Oryzias latipes: one gene and its partners. The protein of the gene in region 1 interacts with the protein of each later gene in a biochemical or structural test. Links are inferred from orthologs where the notes say so. Each region holds a gene or a part of one and is shown in the gene's direction. Other genes may lie near its edges. The genes, in order: syk, receptor tyrosine-protein kinase erbB-2, ptpn6 and flt3.

Region 1 (3,908 bases):
TCAGCTTGAGCCAACAATTCATGGATTCAATTTTTATAATATTCTGGTTAAAAATGTGCAACGGGGAATGCCACCCCCCCCCCACACACACACACAACTTCTAATTCCAACATTTTTTCTAAAGTAGCTTCCCAATGATGCTCGAAGAGTTAGGAGGCGATAGGTCGAAATCCCTGGGAGGAGTTTCAATTTGTAGAGGGTATTAAAGGTTTTTTTTTAAATTCAAGACCATGGCCTCTTCCAGAAGTCAAAGGTCAACAAAACTTTGGGCGTTGTTGTAGACTTAAGCTGGTGGTGTGTGTGTGAAGATCGATTTTTCCCATATTGTGGAAAATCTGAAATATCACCACAATGGTCACCAAGCCTTAGAACCATTGACTGTATATGGAGGACTGGACTGAGCGAGTGAGACTTCACCCATTGAAAAATGCCTAACCCCCGGTTCCAACCAAATCAATTCAATTCGAGTCAATTCAGTCGCCATTTTTTCACGATATGTCTGCCGCCATGTTGTCTGTGACATGAACCAGACGTCGTCAGTAAGCTCCATTTCCAAGTGCTCCATGTCGATCTTAGTCTATATTTCCATGGCAACCACTCTCTCCAGTCAGTAGTGAGCATGTTAGAAGGCCTCACCCTTTCCACTGAAAGCAGGATCAGGAGGATCCGGAAATCAAACGCTTTGAACATTCAATGTGAGGCCACCTTCTTTTAATGAGGCATCTGATTGGTCAGTTTGTTACTTGAATGACTTTTACTGCAGCAAAAATATCATTAAAAAAATTAGGATTATCCAGAATATGTTAAAAAGATGTGTCAGAGTGAGAATGGTTATTCTGACCAATAGAATGACTGATTACAGCTGTTTCTTTTTCTATTGAAGTCTATTAGATTTCAGCTTTTTTGGAACCAGCGGGTACTTCCTGTTTGGAACACGGGGTGGAGGGGTCACTTAGTCCAGTTCTCATATACAGTCAACGGCCGTAGGTCCCACGGCCATCTCATGATAATTACAAAACTCCCTTTGTTTTGGTTTTCAATATAGGATTTAGAAATATTTTTTGGAGACCTATAAAAGATTTTGGCTAATTCATCTTTTGTTGTTTCCTTCTGCTGTGATTTATTCATTGGGGGGGGTTACAATGCCTAAAATTCATTGTCTATGTTTTCTAGATTTATGAAAATGTTGATGAGTTTTTGAGTAAGTATGAAAGCTGCAGTAAGAAAGAAGAATTAATAAAAGCAATCTGGTCTTTGTGGTCCAGGTCTGCTGCGGGACAGAATTAACAAAAAGAACTAAACACACTTTCTTCAAGTGTCTTTGTTGGAACGATTCATATAAACTGCTGTTTATAAAAACTACAGCAGCTTACTGACATCAACCTGACAAAAGTAAAGACAATTGTTTTGCTTCTAAAAGCAGGCGATACCAGCATCACCTGCTTGAGTGTCCCTGTTTCTGGAGTAAAGAACAACTTTTATCTGTTTTTTAGCTTCTCCTTTCAGATTTTGCAGTTGTAACTCAAGGTGACCTTCTTGTTTTCTCAGGGACACTTCATCCTGGTGGCCTAGTTTTGTGAGGAGACAAGTGTCCAACGGCCAAGATGGCTGACGCTGTCAACGCACTGCCGTTCTTCTACGGCAACATCGCCAGGGAGGAGGCGGAGGACTACCTTCGGCAGGCAGGCATGAGCAACGGGCTGTACCTGTTACGGCAAAGCCGGAATTACCTGGGAGGCTTTGCCCTTTCTGTCGCCAATGCTAAGCACTGCTACCACTACACCATCGAGAAAAAGCCCAACGAGACGTACGCCATCGCTGGAGGCAAGAGCTACAGGAGCCCCGTGGACGTGATTGACCACCACTCCCAGGAGACAGACGGCCTGGTGTGTCTCCTGAAGAAGCCCTGCAACCGACCCAAGAACATGCAGCCCAAAGTTGGACCCTTTGAGGACCTGAAGGAGAAGCTGATCCGAGAGTACGTGAAGCAGACCTGGAACCTAAGGGTGAGTTTGCCTGGCAGGGATCCTTTGTTCAGAAATCTGTTGTTTTTCTGTTTCTGAAGCATCTTTTCAGAAAGGTGGTGAGAGATTGTAAACAAGTAATCAATAAACTATGATGGCCTGAGGATCCAGGTGTTCAGGCGGGCTGGTGGATCTCTAAGCCCGCTTGGCTCCCATACTGTTTCTGTTGTTCCTGATCTGATCCCCATTTGTCTGAGTCTCAGGCTGCACTGGTGGCTCCTCCCTCTGTCCTCTGGGACACACTGTCAGGTTATAACGGATCACTATTTTGCACGCCTTTGTGGTCTCTGACATGTAAACTCCTGGAAGGAGACTGGAGTAGTCACAGATGTCTCCATGGCTGGCCAAAGCGTATTGTCCACCTTCCACTCTGATTCCACGCTTCATCACACCTAGACTAATCTGCTGAAGACAGACCAGTATGGAGTCCTGCAAACACGTTTGGCTCATTTGACTCCTCACTGCTCGAGCGTTTCACCAACCTGTGAGGGCACGATCCAACCCCAACCATCGATGAATCATCAAATGTGAAAGGCAGAGACTACAGTGAACGTATGTGAACTTTAAAGTCTCCTGATCGGCGGTTGGCTGCAGCAGAGGTCCCCTCTTTGAAGACGTTTATGTCAAAACATGAACTCAGAACCGCTCTGTCAGAAGCCTTCCTGAATCTGTCTGTTCTGGGAATCAGTTCCTTCACGAGAAAGAAGCTGAACTTTGCTGAGATCCGCTGACCCAGCCCACATCTCAAAACACAGCTTTTGTTGGAGGTTTTTAATTGCCCAATAGCCCAGACCGAAAGTAAAAGAACAGGAACCCGGAGATAACAGAAATAGAACATTTCTACTGTATTCTGACGCAAAGGTTTAAAAAAACAGCCAGTCAGAAAGAGCGACTGAGCGCGCTCAGATTCCAGATTCCAGATCCTGAACTGCATCTTCATCTGCCGTCCTTGCAACCCAATGATGGTGGGGGGGGGGCAGTTTGATTTTGAAGAGCGATAAGTTCAGTTTGGACGTTTGTTTGTTTCTCTCATCCTTTGTTCTGAACGGATGAGGAAGACTCAGAGGCGGTCTCTGTGAGGTGTGAATTTCTGGTTCCGGTCCTTTAAATGATGACGTTACCACAACGCAGCATCCTACCTGAGCAGGTGTGAACATCGCTGGCATGGCTGGGGGGTTATCTCTGCAGCCAATAGCTTCTAGCAGATTTCACAGTTTTCTGTCTTCAGAAGAGACCTCTAGGTTGAAAACCACTAAAACTGGTTTTAATTTAAGCCGTTTTTCTGTGTTTATATGTTTTCAGGCTGTGTGCAACACAATGAAGTCCATATGTCTCTCCGTCTGGGTAACAGCCTGTGACTTTTGCATAAAAGTCCTCCTTACCCTCTATCAGAAATTTCAGAAGTCTCTCAGTCTGAATACAGATGTGTCAGTTCAACGTTGATTTTTTATTTTTTTGATTGAAAGTCCAACTTTGAGACATTTCTTAATGACATTTTATCCAGCATTTTTGTCAGCCAGAGCGAAGCAGAATACTGACTCCAGACCAGCGTGAGCCCACAAACACCCTCTATAATATAATTGAGGCCAAGTTACTGCTTACCTCACCTTCTGTGTTTTTTCAGTGCAGCTTTATGTCGGATCCATTAAAGAAACAACAGACAAACATGAAAGAATAACTGTTAAATGGAAAGCGATGACACGTAAAAAGATGCATAGAAACTATTTAATAAAGTGTTAAATTTATTAGCATATGCTGAATAAGCCAAAGGCAACCCAGTCTGCATGGGATTGCACAAGCCTGCGTGAGCTGTAAAATGAACAGGAAATGTGGTAAATACAGTAATTTTGAGGATAAAAATGATTACATTCATACGTATAAATG
Region 2 (3,908 bases), on another chromosome or scaffold:
CGACCTCTCAACGGCACCGCCTCCTGCAAGGGTCCGGTAAGACTTCAGGTTACCGCCAGAGCTGGAACGCTCTAGGAGGGATGAGCTCTTCATTTAAATAGAATCTCAGTTGTTATCTCTATCAAAACGTTTTCTCTTCTACGTCTAACGTCAGTCATCAAACACAATTATTTGCATTTCATGTTGGCAGGATTTTTTTTTTGTCTTTCTAAGGTTTTCTACTTTATTTGCTGTTGTTTGTTCCTTCTTAATAATGTGATTTAGAAATCAATTGCAACCAGTATGCAGCCGCACTTAGATGTTTTATTGCTCTATAAAACACATTTAGGAGTATTTTGATTGAATTTTGAGACAGATTTTGTGTTTTTAGCCCAGTTTGTTTTTGATCCAATCAAACCCAAAACACCTGTGTGACATCACTGACATCACAGGTTTTGTGTGAACTCATTTTAAAACGTCTCCTCATGTTTTGACTCTTTATTATTGTGGACATTTCTCTCTAGTTTTGAATGTAGAAATGGCAGCCTCGTGTTTTTCTTTTCTTTATTTGTATTTGAGCCTTCAGCAGCTCTACAACTCGCATCCATGAGCACTTTTCCTGACATCCTTCATTTCTATTCTTCATTTTTGGTTAATAATACCGTATTTTCCGGACTATAAGTCGCCCTTTTTTTCATAGTTTGGCAAGGGGTGCGACTTATACTCTGAAGCGACTTATATTAGAAATAAATTGAAATAAATACATTGTTAACCCTCCTGTTATGTTCATATGTGAGTAACAGAGATGATGTTCCTGGGTCAATTTGATGTATGAGGTATGTTAAGTGTTAAGAGGATGTTAAGTGACTCAGAGAATCAGCAAACTTTTTTTTACAGTAAGATCTTGAAGGCTAACAACATAATATTCTATTTTCCAATGATTTCATAGATTCAGAAATGCAATAAAAATGACAACTGTTTCTACAAATACAGGATGAAAACAGAGTATTAGTTGGCCAATGATGCTTCATGAAAGGAATAAATAAATAAGTTTGAGAAAAAATTACTGTGAAATTATTAGATAAACAGTCTGCTATGATTGTGTCATATAAGGTTGTGAAAGTTAAAATGCGACTTATAGTCCAGTGCGACTTATCTGTGTTTTTTTCTTCTTTATAATACATTTTTGGGCTGGTGCGACTTATACTCCGGTGCGACTTATAGTCCGGAACATACGGTAGTTAGTCTTTCTAACTATTATTGGGGGGAGCTTGGTGATGAATTCTAGGGGCTCAGAGATTTTAGCTGCTGTCAGATTTTTCAGGAGGTTGTTGCATTTTTTATGTTGACTCCAAAGAGCGCCCAAAGTGGTGGGAATTTTTTCTGAATCTTTAAAATAATCTCTGGTGGGGAAACTCATCAGAAACATGATGATATTTTTAGCCACTTTAGATTGTTCGATGTTGCTTGTGCGTCTCCAGGGTCCGGAGGACTGTACGGAGTGTCGACACTTCCGGGACGGAAAGGTTTGTGTGGAGCAGTGTCCGAGTGGTGTGAAGGAGGAACATCAGACCATATGGAAATACAGCAACGCTACCGGCCACTGTCTGCCATGCAACACTAACTGCACCCTCTCGTAAGCAAACCCTCATCTGAAGGCACAAACGCCTCTTTAAGACAGAGAAGGGGATTCATGTGGAGTTGTTTTCAGTTTCAGCTGCTCAGTGAAGGATGAGCGGGGCTGCCCTATTGACACCAGGACAGGGTAAACTCGTCACTTTCAAATGTTTTTCCTCTTTGAACCTCTCATGTTTTTTAATAAAGCGAAACAAAACGTGTTTTCTTTTTTAGACCTGGCACTACTATAGCAGCAGCAGTGGGTGGAGTGGTCCTCTTCTTCATCCTTCTGGCTCTCCTGGTTTTCTATCTGAGGCGACAGAGTAAACTGAAAAGGAAGGAGACGGTGAGGAGGTACCTGCAGGAGCAGGAGGTGAGCAGCGACAGAGATGGGAGTTGTTGTAGCTTTGCTGAAGCCAGATCCTGAAGGGGGTGTTTTTCTGACTTTTTTTTTGCAGCTAGTAGAGCCTTTGACTCCCAGTGGCGCATCTCCTAACCAAGCCCAGATGCGCATCCTGAAGGAGACCGAGCTGAAGAAGCTGAGGGTTCTGGGTGCAGGGGCCTTCGGCACCGTCCACAAGGTGAGTTTTCTGGCAGCAAATCTGAATTTGTAGGAAAATGTAGATTTGCAGCCAAAGTTTTTGATCATTTTTCAAACATTTTTAGGGCGTTTGGACTCCTGAAGGGGAAACTGTTAAAATACCTGTAGCTATTAAGGTGTTGCGGGAGAACACCTCTCCAAAGGCCAACAAAGAAATCCTGGATGTGAGTAAACACTCTGCAAACACCTTCATAGGCACAGCTCGCTAGAGTCCAGTTCACTGTTCTTTTATCCCCCCCCCCATAGGAGGCCTATGTGATGGCGGGGGTCACCAGCCCCTACGTCTGTCGCCTTCTGGGAATTTGTCTGACCTCCACCGTGCAGCTGGTCACTCAGCTGATGCCGTACGGCTGTCTCCTGGATTACGTCCGGGAGAACAAGGACTGCATCGGTTCGCAGTTTCTCCTGAACTGGTGTGTCCAGATCGCTAAGGTACAAAGCGAGGAAACGGACAGTTTAGGTGCTTCCTGTTCTCACAGCTGCTGTGTGGCGTCACGAGTCTGTGTTTGTCTGAAGGGCATGAGTTACCTGGAGGACATCCGGTTGGTCCACAGAGATCTGGCCGCCCGCAACGTTCTGGTAAAGAACCCGAACCACGTGAAGATCACGGACTTTGGTCTGGCCCGTCTGCTCGATATAGACGAGACCGAGTATCATGCTGATGGAGGGAAGGTAAAACAAACACGTGTGTGTGTGTGGAAAAAACAGCAGTATCTGTTAAAATACACTGATACAAACAAGATAATGTTGGTATAAAATCAATCTGGAAGTAATTGATTACTGGCTGTTTTCTACCTGTTTTCTCTACTGTCTTTGCCTTTTTACATCCAGTCACAAGATTGCTTCTACCAAGTTGGGTCAATTAAAATTGGCTGAAGTGTTGTGTGCAATAAAAATAACCTTTTTTTTCCCACAGCCCTTCAATCAAAACCTGACACTTTTTTAATGAACAAAATGGTCTAAAAGACCCAAAATGCCAGGTTTTTAAGTTTGAAGCTGATTTGGATTGCTTAAAATAAAGACGTGCATTCAAGCAGCCGCTTCCGATGAAAAGTCAATATAAAGGATATTGACTATTGTCTGTGGAAACAGGCGTAAGTTTCTACAACTGTTTTCAGGCTTCATGTTTTAAACGCCCGTCCATTGAACACGTTGAAAGTTAAACCAGGTTGAACTTGAGCGACGTATGGATGGTATTCCTTTTAATTCCCGGAAGTGCCAGCCGTTTGAAAATAGATCATGCTGGAGAAATAATAATTTGTTTTTTGCCCGACTGGAATGATATGACGCCAAGTCTTTCATTTCACACCAAGCCTCTTCCAGCTGTAGGTGGTGGACTAGTAAACGGTAGAAAAAGCCCCTCCCTGCTTGTCCAGTGTGAACAACATGAGCTAAACATTTAGCGCGTGCTTCAATGCACACACCCAGTGTGTACGTAGCTTCATAGTTTCTTCACTTCTATGTTTAAAGTGGTGTTTCCGTATTTCCAGGTACCCATTAAATGGATGGCTTTGGAGTCAATAATGCACAGAAGGTTCACTCATCAGAGCGACGTGTGGAGCTACGGTCAGACTCACTTCTTCCAGTTTTAATGACAATGTTCACAGAAAGGAAATCCTACATTTGATTTAATTGGATTTTTATTTATTTCAAGCATTAAAAATAATGCAGTAGTACCAGCAAAACATTATAAAATATATCAAACCCATTT
Region 3 (4,665 bases), on another chromosome or scaffold:
ATTTAGAGTTATTTTGGTGTTAATTATGTTGAGAAACGCTTTCCCAGAACAGGAAGGAGAAAAACAAAGAAGACAATGCTTTCAATTGTTTTCCTAATAGCTGGTTCCGTCTGGCATTTCTTCAGTAAGCCTACATCCTCCTCTCCATAAAAAATGACCCTCGGCGTTTTAGAAAGTTTGGTGTCTATCTTCAGTCGTCAACTTTCCAGACTGCTTTGTATTATAGGGCCCATGTTTCCAAAGATAGCTGTTTGTTTTTAGCACAGCTGCTACTTAGCTTGCCAGGAACTGGCACAATTCAAATTCAGTTCTCCATCAAGCAGCTGTTTATAGCAGCATTTTAAATATGATATTCAGACTTTTAAACATCAAAAGCAACAATAACATTTAAAGTAACAACAACCATTAAACCGACTTCAAAGCTACAATCCATCCATCAGTTCTCTGAACCTGCTGAATCCCTTTCAGGGTCATAGGGTTGTTGGAGCCTATCCCTGTTACTGTTGGATAAACCCTGGAGAAGCAGCCAATTTGTTGCAGGGCTTAAAGTAACTAAATATCTAAAATCAAAATAAAGGAGTTGTTTTTCCCTGAAGAAAAAACATGCACTCAATCAATTCTATTCCTACTGATTGGTTCATTTAATAAGATCAACAAACTATAGATGTTTCTCTGTTCACCTTTTTTATGAGGCAGAAAATGCTCAAAGTATCAGTTTGCAGCGCAGTGCAAGCAAACCTGATAGCCCAAGTGAAAAGATCAAATCAGGAACCTTTTTTCCATCACTGTAGGTGTACAGCCATTCTATACGTGTGTGAAAAACGTCTGCCTTTGTCTGAGATTTGAAGCCTTAACATCTGAGAAACAAAGAGACCCCAAACCAAGTCTGACTGCAAAGCGCAAGTGAGGCAAATAATGCAAACAACAATAGCGGGCGTTAACCCCGACGACACCTGCAGGGCTGCATGTGTGTGTTTGTTGGTGCAGGGGCGGGGAGAGCTGCACCATGTACTAGAAACTACACACTTATTCACTTTTTCCTTTAATTTTTTGCTGCAAACACATAAAACCACCAAAGTCCGCTAGTCACTGAACGATTTTACACCTCATGTAGGAAACCATTATTTTCCACTTACATGCTATCTGGTTGTGAGGAATTCATGAAATAATTGCTACTGTATTTGCATTTTCATTTGTTGTGCATTTGCTTCTACGCAAATTTTTGTGTTGTTTTTAGGGATACAAAAAACTCCCCTAAAAGTCACAATATGTACTTTGTGTTTGTGGCTGCAGATAATTTACTCCGTATAAGGATAAAGCAGCAATTTTCAAGGTGCTGGATCGGCGTTCTTTAAATTAAAACAGTTGACAACAGCACATGATATATCAGCTTGCAGCAGCACACGCACACATGCAGCCTCACACATGCAGAGGGGGGAAGGTTCAAATGAGGAAGTGTTCTGTTCTGACCTTTGTGTTTCGCACACTCGTACACACCTGGAAGTAAAGAACAGAGGGCAGATTCAGCCGACAGGTGGAGGAAACTTTGCAAATACTTTCTGTTAGACAAAGAGCGGGCATATTTGTGCATTGATGAGGAGATGGAACTGCCTTTTTGGAGGGTGTTTTTCAACCATACGCCTGTTGGAATTGCCGTTGTCTCACAGCTCTGAACAGAGGAGTCATCTAAAGAAGCTCTGCAGCTGTTTTTCCAGAAGACGGAGGTGATGGAGTTGAAGCCTTCTCTGCTCTTAGATTGGCAACGTTTTTATTTTGGTCATCAATAAAAGAAAAAGAAAAAAAAAAGACACCATCTTTATCTGCTTGAGGAATTCCGGCCTGTCAGCTATTTTGGTTCCTGTCTTGCTTTCACTACTTTGTGAAAGGAGACGTAGAAAGGAAGGAAGGGGAGAGCGTATGAGCACGACGCAGAGGAGGGGAGACAGACACATACAGCGTCAACGTCTCGACCAGTGTCAGTTGTTTTCAGGAGCAGCTGAGGAGAGTAAGTGTTTACCTGCTTTTGCTGTTGAAGGGAAGACTGAGAACCGGGGTCAGCGGCGGTCCGCTGGTGGGTGGTGGCGGGGCAGGGGTGGGTATTAAGTTAATGTGTTACACCAGAGGGAGAGCAAAGGCAATTAGATTTAATTGATTCTTGATAAAAATATCTTAAGTTGAAGGTCAAGTTAGCGCTTGACATACCAAATGTGTTTGCGGTAAATGTACAATTCAAGTAGACCAAAAGTAAGGAAGCTGCAAAAACTACACAAACTTTCAACGCCAAAGTGTGTGATCTGAGTCTACACATGTGCCGCAGGAACAAGCGACTCTTCCCAAATCGCTCTTCTTCTCTTTAGTCCCAGAAAAAGTGAGGAGACGCCATGGTTCGGTGAGTCAAGCCTCTGCCGGACACATCAAACTCTGGTTTTGTTCTTTGTGTTTTGTGCAACAACTTCTCTGTTTCCATTCCTCCTTTTGTCTATTCCCTGCTGCTGGCCTGTCCTGCTCCTCTTCTGTCATGTCATTTGTGATCCCTCGTCAGCTAAACCCTGCAAGTTCAGTATAAGAGACTGGGACATAAATAAAGTGTTTAGGTTTCAGTTCTGTTGTTTCCTCAAAGCTCCACAGTGTCAGACAGATCATGTGTTCGAAAACAGTTATTAACCTTTTTTGTGCAATATGTCAGATTTTAAAAACCTGGTTATTCGTCTAGCTAATAAGGCTGTAAAGCAACATAATTTATTAAAGTACGTCAGCATTACTGACTATGCCCTAATGCACGCTTTGTTTTCCTGATGATCAACAAATTGCATGTAGGTAAAGTGAAAATAGTTTCTGAAGGTTTATGTTAAACCCTTATTGGATCAAGGATTTGGACTGTGGTTCATCACATGAAATTGTCTTTTATCTTTCTTAGGCCAGTGAAACCAAAGGCTTTAATAAAACCTTTAATTTATCACGTTAAAGTCACCCTCTGCCTTAGTATTATTTATGTTTGAGACTCTAAAACAAAAAATATAAAAATGAATATGTTGATTTTGAGGATTTTTACAAAGAATCTACTCAAGATTGTAATGAAACCTAATAATGTTTAAAAGATCATCACCTGAATTTCTTCCCTTCTTTTATTAAAAAGTACAGCTTTTCTCTCCATCTTTACACTTTCTTGCACCCCTGATCTTGTCGAGAAACTCCCATCTCTCTTTTGCGTATGCGTGCACCTGGATTTTCTTGGTCTATTTAAAGCTGTACATTTTAAATCTATGTGACACATGTATGCCTTCTACTAGGTCAATGTTGTTGTGCTTCATCTTTTCTATCTTTGTGCGTCGATCCAGGTGGTTCCACAGAGACATCACAGGCCTGCAGGCTGAGGAAATACTGAAGCTGCGAGGCATTGACGGAAGCTTTTTAGCTCGACCCAGCAAGAAAAACGTTGGAGATTTCTCCCTGTCTGTCAGGTAATGTCTGGTGTGAACAGATGCAGCACATGAGCTGCATCTGCAAAACTTCTTTCAAGTTTTGCAGCCTTTATTTGATGATAAGAAAATAAGCTGAGAGCTGCAGGCTCCCGCCAGGGCCTATATTTTGATGCGAATGATCTACGCACACATGCCAGTTTTGTTGGAGGCCTTTTCTTAAAGTGAGTAAAAGTAGCAGCAATGGAAGCGATTCTTATAATTTATAAAACTTTGCGGATTGAAAAAAAAGGTTGTTACAGAACTCCAAAAGACGTGGTTGCATCTTCTTTGAACAACAGCAGAAAATTAGTCAGATTTGCTCATTTTAGATGTCTTATCTGTAACTTCTTACAGCAAAAGATCCCTTTCCAAGCTCCACTTTGTGAAAACAGTTAGCACTTTCCAATTTTGTGTGAAAAAGTGCACAGCTCTAAATGATCTACTTACTCCCAAGGCCACTTTCTTAGAAAAAAATGCATTTTGGTTAATTCTTATCCTTTCATTTGGATTAAAAAACAATAATTCTAACAGAAAAAACATGTTTTTATGTAAAAAAAAAAAAAAAAAAAAAAAAAAAGAGTCTGAAAGCTTGATCGACAGTTTGATGAACCAAAAATGTTATTTTTGTTTGTAAAATTGTCTATTAAATCTGATTTTTTATTTATTCCGATGCTAAAGCCGCATTTTTCTAATATTTCTCCTCCTTTGGCCGCCCAAGTTGAGCTTAAAAATATGGAAAATAAATTTGTTGTTACACATGCTGCCAAAAATCTTTTAATAGGATCGATTGACTTCGATATTTGATAAGCTCGCAGCTGTAGCCAGGCTGAAAAGGACCATCACGTTTATGTCGGTTTACTGAGTATAAAAGTCCTCACCTGGTGCTTTTGTACCTGCTGCCATCACAAAGAAACCGTTAACAGTTTTCTTGGTGTGGCCTTGGTGTTTTTGTTTTTTCCTCTCCAGGGTGGGTGATCAAGTGACCCACATCCGCATCCAGAACACAGGTGACTACTATGACCTGTACGGAGGGGAGAAATTTGCCACCCTGTCTGAGCTGGTGGACTACTACACATCCGATAGTGGGACCCTGCAGGACAAGGACGGCACCCTTATCCAGCTTAAATATCCCCTAAACTGCTCGGACCCAACCACTGAGAGGTCTGTGCTTTCCTCAGTCCTTTTTTCTTTTTCATTCTTCACT
Region 4 (4,468 bases), on another chromosome or scaffold:
TCATAATGAAAACAACAGGCCTCTGCTGTGTGAGCTAAAGAGTGTGTTTCACCATTTATGTTATTATATATGGCTTACTATTGATGTGAAGACTAAACAAGTCACAAATCAATTTTTAACAGCGGGAATGTCAAGCTGCAAGCCGAAGGGTTATGGTTCTGCAGACAGAAACCACGTTTTGTTGTAAAGAGGCCAACAGAATCCTCGGGCTATCTTATGAAATTCCCCCACTGGGCCATGAGGTAAGGTCAGTCAGGAATCTTGTGCGAGGGGTTACTGTTTTGTACTCACTGGTTAGCAGCTGCCCTTCCAGGGACGTTCCCGCAGGCCCCACCGTTTCGCTCTTCTTTGACACCACGGTCCCTCCGCTGACTGTAGCCGTGCCGCCAATGGAGTACACCGCTGGCGTCCCTCCGCTGCCGGCCATTGATAAGGGAACCGGGCTACCTCCGCCGCCGTGAAGAGGCAGGTTTGCCAAGGACGGATCGTCGTGTAGGAACTGACATTCGTCTCCATAAAAGCACGTTTTGTCCTTCGCGTAGTAGCGGCAAAACTTCACCTTAACATTAGGTAGTCCGGCACCCCCAAGCGGAGCAGCTGAGGGTGGAAGTCCACTGTTCATGGCACCGCTGCTGCCGCCACTGCTGCCGGAAGACACTCGAACATAGAGACGCAGGGAGCTAGCGTGCTAGCTAGCAAGCTTTGAACAGTTTCCCCCCAAAACACTAGATTTAATTTGCTTTAGCCGATGAAAAAACCCATACTTTAGCGACACTTACATTATAAAGCTAGGGTGTATTTCGATTTGAGGAAAAGATGCTTATATGCTCGGGGTTCCGGGCTATCCATGCAGCTGCTGCCCCTACAAAGTAGCCTGTTGTTGTTGTTTTGAGCCTCCAGTCTGGCCGCAAAGCTGCAGCTAACATGCCTTTGCATTCTGGGTACCGTTCACCTGCTGCAAATGCATGCTTCACGTTAAAAAATCAGATATTTAAAAGAACACCCGGTCTGACAAAAAATGTATGTTCAGTTGTTCAAAACTAAAAATAGTAATAATTTATACTATTATTGTAAGGTTGGAATATTATACAAAGAAAACTGGAAACCATTCAAAGACAAAGTCGAAAAAAATGACAAATTTATAATAATTCAAAACATTCTATGTTTTTGTTCCTTTTTTCATGGTTTTTCACTAAATGTAATGTTTGTGAGGAAATAACTTTTCAAATATGTATACGATTAAAAACTAGTAACACTTTTATTTTTCAAAATAAAAGTCTTTCATGTTTTCTGAATCTGAAACAAGCGCAACAGTCTTCAAGGACAGAAGCTCCAAAAAAAAAAAAAAAAACCTGCCATGTTAATACTTAAGGGTGTGTTTTTAACAGTTTTTTTTAAGTGAGGCGTTATTTCCAGCCATACTTCCTCTGTTAAAAACACTGTTGCACACTTCTGCATGCAGACAATCCGCAACTCAACTCCCCTCAGAATATGTGACTCCAATAACGGAGAGCAAGATGATGTGGATCAAGATAGCTTCGACTGCCAGTGAGTACTGCTGTAAATTTGGGCATTATAATCAGTGGCGGACTTAGCAGTTTTGGGGCCCCAGGTGAAGAATAACATGGGGCCCTCTTCAGTGGTTGTATTTATCATTTTTTCAAAAAAACAAAAAAAAAACAAAACATAGAATAACTTATGTACTGGTCCTCTTTTAAATATATCAAGAATCCAAATGTTTTGATGAGCTTTAAAAAACTGAAATCACGTTTAAGAAATGTATTTTATAGTATATACATTATTCTTACTTGGAAAAACATTACATATATGAAATGTCAACTTTATTTATAAAGCACTTTTAAAAGCAGCAGAGGCTGACCAAAGTGTTTAACAATTAAAGATAAATGAAAGCAACAATCTAAAATAAACAAAATAATACAAAAGTAATAAAAATCAATAAAATCCCCAACTCATACTGAGTTAAAAGCCAGAGAGATAAACTGAGTTTTCAATGGATTTAAAATCATTCAATGAACGGGCCTGCCTAACTTGCATGGGCAGTGCATTCCACAAACTTATAGAAGCTTTTCTATAGCACAGCTAAAAATAAAAATCAATGCCAGAAAGGCTTCTGTAGCATTATTAAAAATAAAAGTCAATGCCCAGAAATGCTTCTGTAGCATTACTAAAAATAAAAGTCAATGCCAGAAATGCTTTTTTGTTTTCAAATTGAAGCTGTATTTGTTGACTCAAGATTAAAATGAAAAAGCAATCCGCCAAACCACCTTTTCTTTTTCTTCTTCAACACAGCTCATTCTATCACTTAATTAAAATGATAAAGAAAATGGTATTTGACATTTAATTTTCAAAAGGGTCTCTGGTAAATGTGTAGTAAAATTCAATTAGAAATATCTAATTTGACAATTAAAATGGATTAACAGAAATGCTTTTTCACTTTCACAATGTAACTGCATGAAATGACACAAAATTAAAATTAAAAATCAATCCTTTAATTATGCTTTTTCATTTCCTTCTTCAACATCGCACACTCTGTGACATAATTAAAGCAAAAATACAAAGAGGGGATTACATTTTTGTTTTCACATCCCCCCTCAAAAAGTGTAGCATAATTCAATTCTAGTCAGCATTTTCAAGAGAAGCGCTACGGAAGCGCTTCCATATTTCACAGCCCCTCGAATCACTTTGCTTCGTCTGACCACTTTTTAAAAATTGCTTTGAATCATCATCTAATCTCTACCAGTGATTGGCAGATAGATAGTGTTGCCAGATAGTAACAGTTTTCCAGCCCAAAAGTTATCAAAAGACCACCAGACCCAACAAAAAACTACCCAAAATACTAATCAGTGATTACTAGCAGTAATTAATCATCCATTATTTATTAATTCCCGATTTGATTGAAAGTCCAACTTTAACACATTTTTAATGATATTACATCCACCATTTTTGCAGTCAGTCAGAGAAAAACATGAAATAATGGACTCCTATTGAACTTTACTAACAACCACTGCTGATTTACTCAAATATTAAGGCGAATTAAATAAAAGGAAAGTGAAAAAACAAGAATAATTAAACACTAGCCTATAGAAATTCTAGTTTAACTTATTTACCAATCAAAAACAAAAGTGGAAATTGTTCTTGTTTTGTTACTATTCATGAATTTAGGTCAGATCAAATAAAAGCAAATGTCCTTGTGAAGCGTGATGATTTTTTATTTAAATTGTTTTTTTTATTAAATTTCCAAGTAGTAAATAAAACATTTAGAACTAAATCAAATATCACCTGAAACGACTCTAAAAATCTGTCATTTTTTTTACATAAATAAAAGATTGTTTATTGCCAATGATAAAATGGATTTGTATTACATTTATTTCATTTTTAGTTCTCCAAATTAATTCTATCTCAGTCAGTTTATGATGTAGTTTGAATAAAGTTGTAACTTAAAGATTTTATTGTTATTTTACATTCATAGGGGATTTTTTAAACACTTTTTTTACTTTAAAATTTAAAACTGAATCATTTTCAGTTCATGTTAGTTTACAATTCTTGCCAAATTGAAAAGACAACTGATATTTAAATCCACCTCTTGGATGTTTTTCAATGTTTTTCTAACAACAAAACAGTTCTGAAATTCAATCGTCACTTTAAATCTGTCAAGTCAAATGTGCCTAAGTTATGGTTAATTGTGCTTGTGTGGACCTATGATGATTTAGGGACCCATCAAGTATTTATAATTTCTTATAGCATTGCCGAGTCCATGTAAAATTTAATGGTAAATGTAAACTTGATTTGAATAAAAATGGATCTGAACACAGTCCGATTTCAAGTCTGGTCCTGAGCCTGTACAGGTATTATTCTACAAGTATTACTTTATATGGTGCTTATGAACAAAATTGTACAAAGAAAAATAATAATAATAAAAAGATGTTGCCACTTCTGTCCTAGCTTCTCTCTTGCTGTGTTTTCTTGGAGCTCTTTGCATCGTTGGGGCAGAGAATGACGTCTGTGTGCCAAGTATTCAGGTAAGAGCAGCAGTGGAAACATATAAAATAGTTCAAAGTTAGTTTTTATTGTTCTTATCTAAAATCCCAACATTGTTGAATTTTGTCTTTCAGACAGAATGCTTTAACACATCCGACTATGAGGATTCTTCTGGTATGGTCCGTATCACGATGCTACACGGTAAGGAGCTGAACATCAACGTCAACGGCCTCTCTGGTTCTCCTGTCTGCAGGTGGATCAGAGGAAATCAAACAATAATGACCTCGTAAGTAAACTCTGCATGAGATGAGTCTTCTCTATTTTCTTTATTTATAATCTGAACTGAATTTTGTCCTAATCATTTTAGGGACAAGACTCACTTCATGGTGATGCCAGATTCAGGCCAGTACACTCTGACTTGTTCTGGTCACAATATGACCATTTTCTCAAAGACTGTGGTCCTTCATGT

The links.
Region 2: the proteins of syk (region 1) and receptor tyrosine-protein kinase erbB-2 form a complex in vitro, tested with the Homo sapiens proteins (2 studies listed by BioGRID and IntAct, with this or other methods). The link is inferred for Oryzias latipes from reciprocal best matches to the Homo sapiens genes SYK and ERBB2.
Region 3: of the proteins of syk (region 1) and ptpn6, one has a biochemical effect on the other in vitro, tested with the Homo sapiens proteins (2 studies listed by BioGRID). The link is inferred for Oryzias latipes from reciprocal best matches to the Homo sapiens genes SYK and PTPN6.
Region 4: of the proteins of syk (region 1) and flt3, one has a biochemical effect on the other in vitro, tested with the Homo sapiens proteins (2 studies listed by IntAct, with this or other methods). The link is inferred for Oryzias latipes from reciprocal best matches to the Homo sapiens genes SYK and FLT3.

The regions. Positions count from the first base shown.
Region 1 is NC_019870.2:27,546,006-27,549,913, reverse strand, and holds part of syk (tyrosine-protein kinase SYK), read left to right. Parts: intron 1-1,548; 5' UTR 1,549-1,604; coding exon 1,605-2,006; intron 2,007-3,908. UniProt on the Homo sapiens protein: Non-receptor tyrosine kinase which mediates signal transduction downstream of a variety of transmembrane receptors including classical immunoreceptors like the B-cell receptor (BCR).
Region 2 is NC_019877.2:7,405,031-7,408,938, reverse strand, and holds part of receptor tyrosine-protein kinase erbB-2, read left to right. Parts: coding exon 1-36; intron 37-1,460; coding exon 1,461-1,615; intron 1,616-1,690; coding exon 1,691-1,744; intron 1,745-1,830; coding exon 1,831-1,969; intron 1,970-2,054; coding exon 2,055-2,177; intron 2,178-2,262; coding exon 2,263-2,361; intron 2,362-2,443; coding exon 2,444-2,629; intron 2,630-2,713; coding exon 2,714-2,869; intron 2,870-3,687; coding exon 3,688-3,763; intron 3,764-3,908. UniProt on the Homo sapiens protein: Protein tyrosine kinase that is part of several cell surface receptor complexes, but that apparently needs a coreceptor for ligand binding. Essential component of a neuregulin-receptor complex, although neuregulins do not interact with it alone.
Region 3 is NC_019874.2:20,377,281-20,381,945, reverse strand, and holds the start of ptpn6 (tyrosine-protein phosphatase non-receptor type 6), read left to right. Parts: upstream 1-1,487; 5' UTR 1,488-2,005; intron 2,006-2,317; 5' UTR 2,318-2,381; coding exon 2,382-2,389; intron 2,390-3,338; coding exon 3,339-3,461; intron 3,462-4,427; coding exon 4,428-4,622; intron 4,623-4,665. UniProt on the Homo sapiens protein: Tyrosine phosphatase enzyme that plays important roles in controlling immune signaling pathways and fundamental physiological processes such as hematopoiesis.
Region 4 is NC_019878.2:17,428,058-17,432,525, forward strand, and holds the start of flt3 (receptor-type tyrosine-protein kinase FLT3), read left to right. Parts: upstream 1-1,416; 5' UTR 1,417-1,517; coding exon 1,518-1,548; intron 1,549-3,963; coding exon 3,964-4,040; intron 4,041-4,133; coding exon 4,134-4,285; intron 4,286-4,366; coding exon 4,367-4,468. Other genes in the region: PAN2-PAN3 deadenylation complex subunit PAN3, read right to left, coding at 292-622. UniProt on the Homo sapiens protein: Tyrosine-protein kinase that acts as a cell-surface receptor for the cytokine FLT3LG and regulates differentiation, proliferation and survival of hematopoietic progenitor cells and of dendritic cells.